Linked DNA regions of Caenorhabditis elegans. The protein of the gene in region 2 purifies or fractionates together with the protein of the main gene of each other region. This does not show direct contact. Each region holds a gene or a part of one and is shown on either strand. Other genes may lie near its edges.

Evidence for each region.
Region 1: the proteins of sams-1 (region 2) and hphd-1 fractionate together in Caenorhabditis elegans (co-fractionation; one large-scale study listed by BioGRID). This does not show direct contact.

Annotation. Positions count from the first base shown.
Region 1 is NC_003280.10:12,993,805-12,998,326, reverse strand, and holds hphd-1 (Hydroxyacid-oxoacid transhydrogenase, mitochondrial), read left to right. Parts: upstream 1-1,982; 5' UTR 1,983-2,079; intron 2,080-2,130; 5' UTR 2,131-2,134; coding exon 2,135-2,246; intron 2,247-2,321; coding exon 2,322-2,389; intron 2,390-2,438; coding exon 2,439-2,521; intron 2,522-2,575; coding exon 2,576-3,167; intron 3,168-3,218; coding exon 3,219-3,530; intron 3,531-3,580; coding exon 3,581-3,698; intron 3,699-3,747; coding exon 3,748-3,860; 3' UTR 3,861-3,965; downstream 3,966-4,522. Other genes in the region: Y38F1A.8 (Serpentine Receptor, class T), read left to right, coding at 37-227; Y38F1A.7 (uncharacterized protein), read left to right, coding at 523-625, 675-760, 1,023-1,283. UniProt on the Caenorhabditis elegans protein: Catalyzes the cofactor-independent reversible oxidation of gamma-hydroxybutyrate (GHB) to succinic semialdehyde (SSA) coupled to reduction of 2-ketoglutarate (2-KG) to D-2-hydroxyglutarate (D-2-HG).
Region 2 is NC_003284.9:11,964,375-11,970,410, forward strand, and holds sams-1 (putative S-adenosylmethionine synthase 1), read left to right. Parts: upstream 1-1,587; 5' UTR 1,588-1,653; coding exon 1,654-1,722; intron 1,723-1,775; coding exon 1,776-1,959; intron 1,960-2,013; coding exon 2,014-2,806; intron 2,807-2,853; coding exon 2,854-3,019; 3' UTR 3,020-3,032; intron 3,033-5,280; 3' UTR 5,281-5,519; downstream 5,520-6,036. Other genes in the region: Histone-lysine N-methyltransferase set-6, read right to left, coding at 5,933-6,036. UniProt on the Caenorhabditis elegans protein: Catalyzes the formation of S-adenosylmethionine (SAM) from methionine and ATP.

The sequences.
Region 1 (4,522 bases), on a different chromosome or scaffold from region 2:
TGAAAAATTCCAAATTTCAAACCATAAAAATTTCAGCCTACAACCTCTTCTCGCTTGCTGAACTAATTGAAGTTGGCTGTAATTCCTTGTTCTATTCAATCGCCTACTTTGAATTCCCCAAAACTCGCATCACAATCGGAATCAAAAGTGTGCAGCGCAATCTCAACGAGCTTGACAAGTCAGTGACGAAAATGGCTCCAGCATTACCTCGGAAGGATTTCGTCTAAACTTTTTATTTTTTCTGTAGATTTTAAACCTCGATTTCAACGGGTTCCCCAATCCAGTGTTTGTACATATAGTTTACAATTTTACAATCAGTGAATAAAAACGTGTAATTTGTATTAAAAAATATTTTATATTTTGAGAAGAGAATGAGTTGGAACAACAAAAATAATCTGACGTGGATATATCCAAATAAATGGAAATAAAATGTATTTCCAAAGTTTTCACAATTCGAGGAGGATGTCTAACCTCACTTTCGTCAGAAATAGCTATTGTGAGTTTTGAAAAAAGTTACAAATTATGGAGCCACTACTGCTCGACTTGGAGCCAAAACTCCTGGACTTCAACATCTTAAACCTTGGATTTTCAGATCCTCAAAATGGCCCGTACAGTGATGGATTGAGTGAGCTTGTCCACAATATCTCATACTCTAACAGTTCTGAAAATTGTAGGTGTTGTGACTGGTCAAGTTCAGGAGACAGTTGACGTTTTTATGGCTATTATCCTGGTCATGATTGTCATTTTTCTAGCTGTTCATGTGAGTTTCTGGCTACAAGATTATTGTGTTGTGGAATATGAAAATGCCTGCCTACTTGCCTACGCCTTCGACGCCTGAGCAGGAATTTTTGTTTTTGAGATATTTTGAACTACAATTTATCGTTTTTCTACGTTTTTCATATCCAAAAGTTCTTGTTCCTTTTTTAAACAATTGCAGGCACGTACTGTAGGCACATAGGCTAGCGTTTCTCATGCACACAAAAAAATTTTACCAAAAATCTATCTAATTCTCTCTTTTCCAGCTCTTCATTCGATTCCACTACAAGGCAAAAACCGAGTATGCCCTCAACGAGCTGCGGGAGAAATTCGACAAAAACCCCAATGGTTCATCTGCATTTGCTCTGCCAAAGGATCCGAAAAAGGCAGGTGATTCTGCTCCAAAACCAGTTGAGATTTTGATGGAGCCGGAGCAACTTGCTCCGATGGTTCACTACATTGCAATGGCGCCACCTGGAAAAGCGGAGCAGCCGAACAAGAATGTCTTCTACAATGCGAATCCGTGAAAGCTCAGAAGTGAACTCGATGTCTAGTTTTTATTTTATTTTTTGTTTATTCTAGTGTTTTTCTGTTGTAAACTATGGATGTGTAATAAATGACTTTGGAGGCTGAAAACAGCCATAACCATGAGAAAAGTTGGAATCCTGAAAAATCTAGGGCGGGGGAGACTGCCAATTTCAGAGACGTTTTGACAAATTTAGCGATTTTCTGTTTTTCTTCATGATCTAAAATTTGTCATTTTCCAACTCTTACTAATCTCCGAGTTCGAATCTCGTACAAGATTACAACTACAAGCTTCTACCAGCAACTGAGCTCATGTGGTTCATAGCTTCAGCAACCCGTGAGACGTCGGCCCGTCCAAGACAACTGAAAGAATAGTCTTGCAGCCGACACTTTCCGGGTTCAAATACTAATTTAGAAACCTGTAAATCTTAATTTTTGGAGCGCCTCTAGCAGCCGACATCTTGCTGGTTTCTGAAAAAAAAAACAAGATTTCAAAAGCTGAAATTAGCTTGCAAGCCAAAATTTCAACTTTTGTGCCCACGAGTCTATTCAGATCAAACCATCTTCCCCTCACATTAATGTTCGAAAACTGATCACTGCTGTTTGCCCGTCTGCGTCTCTCCTCTCTCCTCCATTCCACTTGTTTTCTTCTCTATTTCTCCACGTGTTTGTACATAAACGTGATAATAATTATTGTTGGCGCGATTTATTTATTGAATTTAAAAATTAAATTCTTTAAATAAAAACCTTACGAATCAATTTATTTCTCGATTTCATTGCGTTTACGACATTTTATTTGTGAGTTTTTGTTGGCACGTGGCAATTGTTTTATACTTTTCTTTTTTTCAGCAAAATGAGTGCAAGTCTGGCACGTGGAATACTGAGCAAGATGGGCGGCTCATGCTGTCCTCACCATGCCCCAGCTACAAATCCATTCAAACTTGCAAAGCTTCATGGAAATAACAGTTAGTTTTTTACCCGAGCAGGCACGCAGGTAGGCGTGCCTGCCTGAAAACTTTCTAAAAAACCAATATTTTCAGAGTCAACAGATTACGCGTTCGAGATGGTGTGCTCAACTCTTCGTTTCGGAAAAGGAGTCACGTTGGAGGTTTGCTAGCAATATCACACATCACTAACTCAACTGTGAACTTTATCAGATTGGATACGACGTCCGTAATCTCGGAGCAAAGAAAACGTTGCTTATCACTGATAAGAATGTGCAGAATACGATCGCTTTTAAGTGAGTTATAGGAAAGCTTTAAAGCTCTAAAATTATTCAACAGACAAATTTTAGAAACGCCGAGCAAGCCTTAAAAATGGTGAATATCGAGTATGAGGTGTTTGATGATGTGCTCATTGAGCCAACCGTCAACAGTATGCAGAAAGCAATCGCATTTGCCAAATCGAAGCAATTCGATAGTTTCATCGCTGTTGGTGGAGGATCTGTGATCGACACGACGAAGGCTGCAGCTCTATATGCTTCTAATCCAGAAGCGGACTTCCTCGACTTTGTTGGACCACCATTCGGAAAATCCATGCAACCAAAGAACCCAATGCTCCCATTGATCGCTGTGCCAACAACTGCTGGAACTGGATCCGAGACTACCGCGGCTGCAATCATGGATCTTCCAGAGCACAAGTGCAAGACTGGAATCAGACTTCGTTGCATCAAGCCGTACTTGGCAGTTGTGGATCCGTTGAATGTGATGAGTATGCCTCGAAACGTGGCAATCTATTCTGGTTTCGATGTTCTCTGTCACGCGTTGGAAAGCTTCACAGCTTTGCCATTCGATCAAAGATCTCCACGCCCTGAGAATCCAGGAGTTCGTCCACTTTATCAAGGTTCCAACCCGATCAGTGATGTCTGGAGTAAAGAGGCTTTGAGAGTGAGTTGGAATTTCAACCATGAAGCTCTAAATGAATTTATATAATTTCAGATCATTGGAAAATACTTCCGCCGTTCTATCTTCGATCCAACCGACGAAGAAGCTCGTACAGAAATGCTCAAGGCTAGTTCATTTGCTGGGATTGGATTCGGAAACGCTGGGGTTCATCTTTGCCACGGACTCTCCTACCCAATCAGCTCCCAGGCGAAAAGCTGTGTGGCTGATGATTATCCAAAGGAGAAGAACTTGATTCCACATGGACTCTCTGTAATGACAACCGCAGTGGCTGATTTCGAGTTTACAACTGCCGCGTGCCCAGATAGACATTTGATTTCTGCACAGACTCTTGGTGCAGATATTCCGGTATGTAAATTGGCCACCAAGATGGTTCTGAACTAACTAGATATTTCCAGAACAATGCCAGCAATGAGTACATTTCCCGAACTCTTTGTGATCGGCTGAGAGGTTATATGCGAGACTTTGGAGTTCCAAATGGACTGAAAGGAATGGGATTCGAATTTTCTGATATTGGTAGAACACCTCTCTCTAGTTGAACTGCCTTATATTATACTATTTTCAGAAATGCTTACTGAAGCAGCCAGCCACTCCGTCCCAAATATTGCAATCTCTCCAAAGTCTGCGGATCGTGAAATTATCAGCACTCTGTACGAGAAGTCCCTTACGGTTTATTAGTCATTTTTCTTATTGTACTTATTTTATTATTGGTTGTACCATATACGTTATTGTTTCTTATGTTCAATGTAAATGTATTTAGAATAAATAAAGAAACAGAAACAGAAACAAAACAATGGCGCCAGGTGTCACCAGAATAATTAGAATCCTTCACCCCCCCCCCCCGTTTTTCTTCAAGGAACCGTTTAAATATTGCCGGCTTACTGTACTAATTAGGGATGACTAGAGGCGGGGAAGAACGAAGAAACATTACTACGCGACACGCAAACAATCGTAGGAATGTCCTTTGAAGCGCGGCGTGCCGGCATATTTGAATTTTGTTGCTGAAAGCTTTTTGGCCTTGGCTGTTATCAAGGATCTATGTATGTTTTGAGAGAATTGTCGAGAATAGCAGGATTTTGGAGACCAGGTACGGCGATACACTGGGTTCTTTTGGAAATTTGGCATATTTTAAGGTTGAATTTTTTTAGGAATTCGTTGGCAAAATGGTCAATTTTCATATCTCATTATCATTAATGTCATCACGAACTTTTCTAACATTAAACTTAACAAATAATTTTAAAATTTCTATATTTTTGAAAACAAAACTTAGATTTTGAGACTTTGCTAAAAATTTAAAAAAATATTTTTATGGCTTTTAAAATATTTGAAAAATTGATAAG
Region 2 (6,036 bases):
GAGAAATTTGTGATTTTTAAAACTGTGTTGCTGTTCAGTCTTGAAACACAAATAAAACATAAAATTAGTTGACATCCACAACAATTGTCTTCTGCGAAAAATTAAGAGCAAAGAAAAGACTGTAAGACAAAAATGGTAGATCAATCTGTTAAATCATCTCAAAAATAGTAAATAGTTCACCAAAAAGAAAACAAAGTTCAAAATACCAAAACAAAGAATGTAGCGTTTTTTTTTGCAGATCCCCTAAAAAAGTTAATAGAAAATTCGAGGTTCTTATCAAAATAAAAATCGTTGCGGTTCATCCAAAATGGTAGTTCAAACGGTGGTTATCAGTTAGAGGGAAACCGATGAGGGTAATGGCATGATAGACTCAGGCATGCTACAAGACATTACTTTTTCATGGAAATTGAACGATAGTAATTGACTGATATTAGATCAAATTGTGATCTTTCTATGTCATGCTTGCAACGATGACCAAGTTTTTTTTTCTATAATGAGATAAAGAAGATATTGTCTGTGGGAACTGACGAAAGAATGATGTGTTTCTAGTCATTCTCAAAAATTCCAGCATTTTTGACCAATAGTTCTATCATGATAATTACAAGAAAAGCATTTATAGTTCTCACATTTTTCTTTCATACCATTAAACTAAAATAGTGAAAACTCACAGTTCATATAAGAATTTTCGGAATTTGTGTATTATAACTCCACTAAAAAACTTGAACTTTTGAAAAAAAAAAACGTGCGGAATACATTGTATTCCAGGATTAGAAAAACTTAGTTTCTAAACCTTTAAAAAAATGTGTATCGCATTTCATTTAATTGATTCAATTAATGAAAATAACATTTAATTCTTAAAATGTGAAAAAATACACAAGTACCGATTTTCAATGTAATTAAAAATCCCTAAATGTTATTCTTCTCTACAAAACCTTGAAATTGACCAATCCCGCCATAAAACCAGTTGAAGAAAACCACGTGGGTAACTCACGTTGCCGTTTTTATCAAATAGTGTACCTACATCTATTGAAAAAATAACATATGTATATATGACCGATTTGAACAAAGATCACGTAGAAAAAATGTGATTTTACAAGACAGCCAGAATTATAAAGTTATTAAATTTACATAAAGCTCTTAAAGATGAACTGTAAAACCTGTCGAAAATTTGAGTTTAGTCAGAATATTCGACACTCCTGTACTATGCACATTCTTTAAAAATTGAAACTTAGGGCAACTTTTAAAAAGCGAAATATTTTACAGAAGAACCAAACATCCTAGCATAATTCAAGTGTGGTAAGAGATTTCGGAGTGATAAAGGAAAAATTGACTAGACCGCTGACACCAACTAAACGTGGATCATAATCACGAAATGTTAATCACCATGCTATTCTTGTCACCACAACCCTCCACCTATCCAATCCTGATCGCTCTTTGTCGCCATTTCCTCTCATTTGCCTCTCGAGAAAGATAACATCAAAGTGGTGAAACAGTCAAAAAAGATAGGACTTGCGAGAGTACGGACGACGCAGAGATAAAAACTGGGTTGTCTGTGTGACTCCGCCTTCGAATATCGCTGGGTTCTTTATAAGGGCAGTGTCCGACTGTGCGAACAAGCCATTCTAAATCGCTTCTCAGTCTTAAAACTCAGAAATGTCCTCCAAATTCCTTTTCACCAGTGAATCTGTGTCCGAGGGGCATCCAGACAAAATGTGCGATCAAGTAAGTTTTTTTTGTTTTATTTATTTAATTTTATCTATTTCTGTTTTTTTTAGATTTCTGACGCCGTTCTCGATGCTCATCTTAAGCAAGATCCAAATGCAAAGGTTGCTTGCGAGACCGTAACAAAAACTGGTATGGTTATGCTCTGCGGAGAAATTACCTCCAAGGCTGTTGTTGACTATCAAGTTCTCGTCCGTCGTGTCATCGAAAAGATTGGATTCACCGACTCCAGCATTGGTTAGTTTATAGAATCTTGCTTTATTATTAGCTTGTTTCAATGTTTTTGTTCAGGATTCGACCACAAGACCTGCAACGTGCTTGTTGCTCTTGAGCAACAATCTCCAGAAATTGCTGCCGGAGTTCACGTCAACAAGGACGGAGAAGATGTCGGAGCAGGAGATCAAGGAATCATGTTCGGATATGCAACCGACGAGACCGAAGAGACCATGCCATTGACTCTCATTCTTTCCCACAAGATCAACGCTGAGCTTCACAAGCTCCGCCGTAACGGAACTCTTCCATGGGTCCGCCCAGACTCCAAGTCTCAAGTCACCATTGAGTACGAGTCCCGCCACGGAGCAACCATTCCACTCCGCGTTCACACTGTTGTGGTCTCTACCCAACACTCTCCAGATGTTACTCTTGAGAAACTCCGCGAGACCATCCTCGCTGATGTTATCAAGAAGGTCATCCCAGCTTCTCTTTTGGACGAGTCTACTGTCTTCCACATCAACCCATGCGGAACCTTCATCGTTGGAGGACCAATGGGAGACGCAGGAGTCACCGGACGTAAGATCATCGTCGACACCTACGGAGGATGGGGAGCTCACGGAGGAGGTGCTTTCTCTGGAAAGGACCCAACCAAGGTCGATCGCTCTGCTGCCTACGCTGCCCGTTGGGTAGCCACCTCATTGGTCAAGGCTGGACTTGCTAAGCGCGTCCTCGTCCAACTTTCCTACGCTATTGGAATCGCCAAGCCAATCTCAGTTTTGGTCTATGCTTTCGGAACTTCCCCACTCACCGACGAAGAGCTTCACCAGATCGTCGAAGACTCCTTCGATCTTACCCCAGGAAAAATTATCAAGTAAGTGAATACAGCTAGATAGGAGAAATTTCATTGGTTTTTTACAGGGAGCTCGACCTCAAGAGACCAATCTACGAGAAGACCGCCGAGAACGGTCACTTCGGTCACTCTGAGTTCCCATGGGAGCAGCCAAAAGCTCTCAAGATTTCTCCAGCACTTCTCGAGAAGGCCAAGGGAAACCCAATCCCAGCCACATCTGCTATCGCTCACTAATTTTTTTGCCTCGGTATGCAAAACTTATTTTTTAAATAATCAATCTCGTTTTATTGTATGCTAGGCACCAATAGTTTAAATTAGTCCGATTTTGTGGATAGACCCCTTGAAAAAACTGAAAAAAAAAACAAGTTAGAGTATTAAATTAAGTTTAGGCAACTAATTACATTTTCAATTCAGCTAGATGACCAACACCTCGCCGTATTTAAAAAAAAACGATTAACGTATTTTGACCTTTTCCCTTTCCTCCCCCACCAGCCTCTTACTCTGATGCGATCCCCCAATTTTCTGTCCCTTCCTGTTCACTGATGATGTGCACTCTTCAGAGCATTTTTCAACAGTGCCTTCTCTTTTTTAAGTCCCCGGTTTCCGCTACCCGCTGAGCTGTCTTGACTTTTAGAATAGCTTCATTTTCAAAAAATTCATATTAAAAAAAAACATCACAACGCAAAAAAATAGTTCTTGACAGTTTCTAATGCCCGAAACATATTTTCTCCAATTACATAGTATTAAATATCCTTTCTCATAACTTCCTCATTGCTCAATGTCTCAACTGCCACCAACTGAGTGGTATCGTACGATTTTTAAGCACCATCAAATCTTTGGTTATAATTAATACATATTTTGTTAAATTGTAATAATCCTTCGGTGGTAGTTCACTGAATTGCTTATTTCCATTCATAATTATGCTTGACATTTAACTTTGGGAAATAAAGTTTTAAAATATAAATTTTTCGAAATTTGTGTTGAAAATAAGAAACATCAAACATTCTAAGGATGATAAAGAAAAAAGATTTTCTGCAAGATAAGACTGGGTGAGTCGTAAAACGCTCCCGCATTGATAAAGATAACCAAGAAGGTGAAATTGACACAAAGACCAAATGAGACAAAAAACTTGATAAAATGTAATTTACAGAAAAAAAAAACTTTCGACATCATGAAAAGAAAACATTATCGTATGTTTGAAAACTTGAAGCTCAACTGCTTCATGGAAACTCAAAATACGCCCTAGAGAGATATCGTTTAATGCCAAACCACAATTACATAATTTCCTGATGCAACCATTTTTCGGTTCAGCATCTCGACAAAAAATTTCATGGCAATAACCTGGTAACTTAATTAGCTGCCAGAAAATTTGAACGGTGTTACTAAGATATTAATATACTTTTTTAAATACTTGATTCTAACTTATTACGTACTTTTGCCACATTATAGAAACTTTTCCAGTTTTCGGCAGATTTCAAGAATAGTGATAATTGGTCCGTAATTTTTCAACATCAGACCGAAAGAGATGCAGTAAGTATTTTTGTGAATAGGTTTCGTTCCGCACAAAAAGTTATTGAAGTTGTTTACACTCAATACTTCAAATTTAATTTGCATGTAAGAGTTTTATTCAATTTCGACTAATTTGCTCGTTTTTAAAAATAACATTAAAATTCTGCCAAAAAAATTAACTTTTAAATTAAAAAATTTAACTTTTTTGGAGATTTATTTGTTCATTGTTGTTAAACTTAATTCTAAAACGTTGAACGTTGTTCAATTTAAATAATTACAATGTTTTCAAAATATATACTTTTCGCATTCTTCTTGAAGTGTTTTTGTTTTCCAAACAACAAAAAGCAATTCCAATATGAATTAATCATGATAACTTCATTTTGTATCTAGTGCTGAGAATACATCGTGATTGCTTTCCACAAATTCCACAAAGCTTGCATAATATCTCTCGATTCATCATATCCACGTCACACTAATTCAGGAAAATCTATTTAGCGAAAATATCTAAATACGAAATCTCGAAAAAAAACCAGCTTTAATAATACATTCTATTTTCGTCAAAACCTCTCTAGTGGTGTTTTCCTTTTCTATTTTTCTCGAAGCTAATAATTATGGGATATCACCTGACACCATAGACGCAGACACAAAAAGAGCTCAAAAATAGTATTACAAGTAAGGAATGAGAATAATCTCACTATTTTCACAAATCTATACAAAGAGGCAAACTGATTTCAAAACTTTGCTTTTGTTCATTTCGACTGACTCTCTGCTTGAAAAGAGTCAGCGGAGTTTTCAAATACTTAAATATCTTTAAAGACACCTCGCAATCCAGAATGATCATCAACAGGTGAGATTATCAGTATTAAATGATAAATTCACGTTTTTTCTTCTTACTATTGTTCATGATTAGAACAAAACATCGAATATTTAAAATCCTTTGATTTTAATTTGAAAAATGCAAATAATAAATTTACTCTTTATTTCAGAGCGAGAATCCGAACTTTATGAATGCATTCACTTTGTTTCTTAATCTATCACGTCTAAAATAACTCGATGGCTACGTGACAAATGCAATATTTTCTTCTTTCAATTTTAACACAGACATAGTTCACTTTCCCATCGATAAGATCATATTATGCTCTCTGTTACACCTGAAGACTCATGTTTTTTTGCTTTTCTGTACAAAATGTTAACCGTTTGGATGAATAAACCGGCAACGACAAAAATGCTCAGGTGAGGAAATTTGAAACATGACATTTTAGCCAAACGTACAGTCTGGCGCTTCACTATTGCCTGGCGCTTCACTATTGCCACTTATTATTGTAATACTGTCTCCAAACGTTTACAAGCTTTAGAATTCACACAATTTCATTCAAAACTTTTTTCTATTCGATGTATTATATAAATGCACATTAAATAAATTCATAATGACTATAAATACATCAACATAACTAAATAATATTTGTCACACATCTGGTTTGCTCTATTCGTAGTGCACTATTTTAAAACTGTATATGTAAAACTGTATTAACTGATAATATTAAATTCCAAAGTTCAGCAATGAAGTGCATGCTTAATAGAGCAAATTTGATACAATTATTACATAAATATTAAAATTTAGATCATATTTTATGGCAGTTATGAATCTTCGTCGGACAGTTCAATTTCAATAACGTTTTCCAAACGTTCACAAGTCGCTGTAGACAATTGTCGCCTCCATTTCAGGTTATATTTTGAAAAAG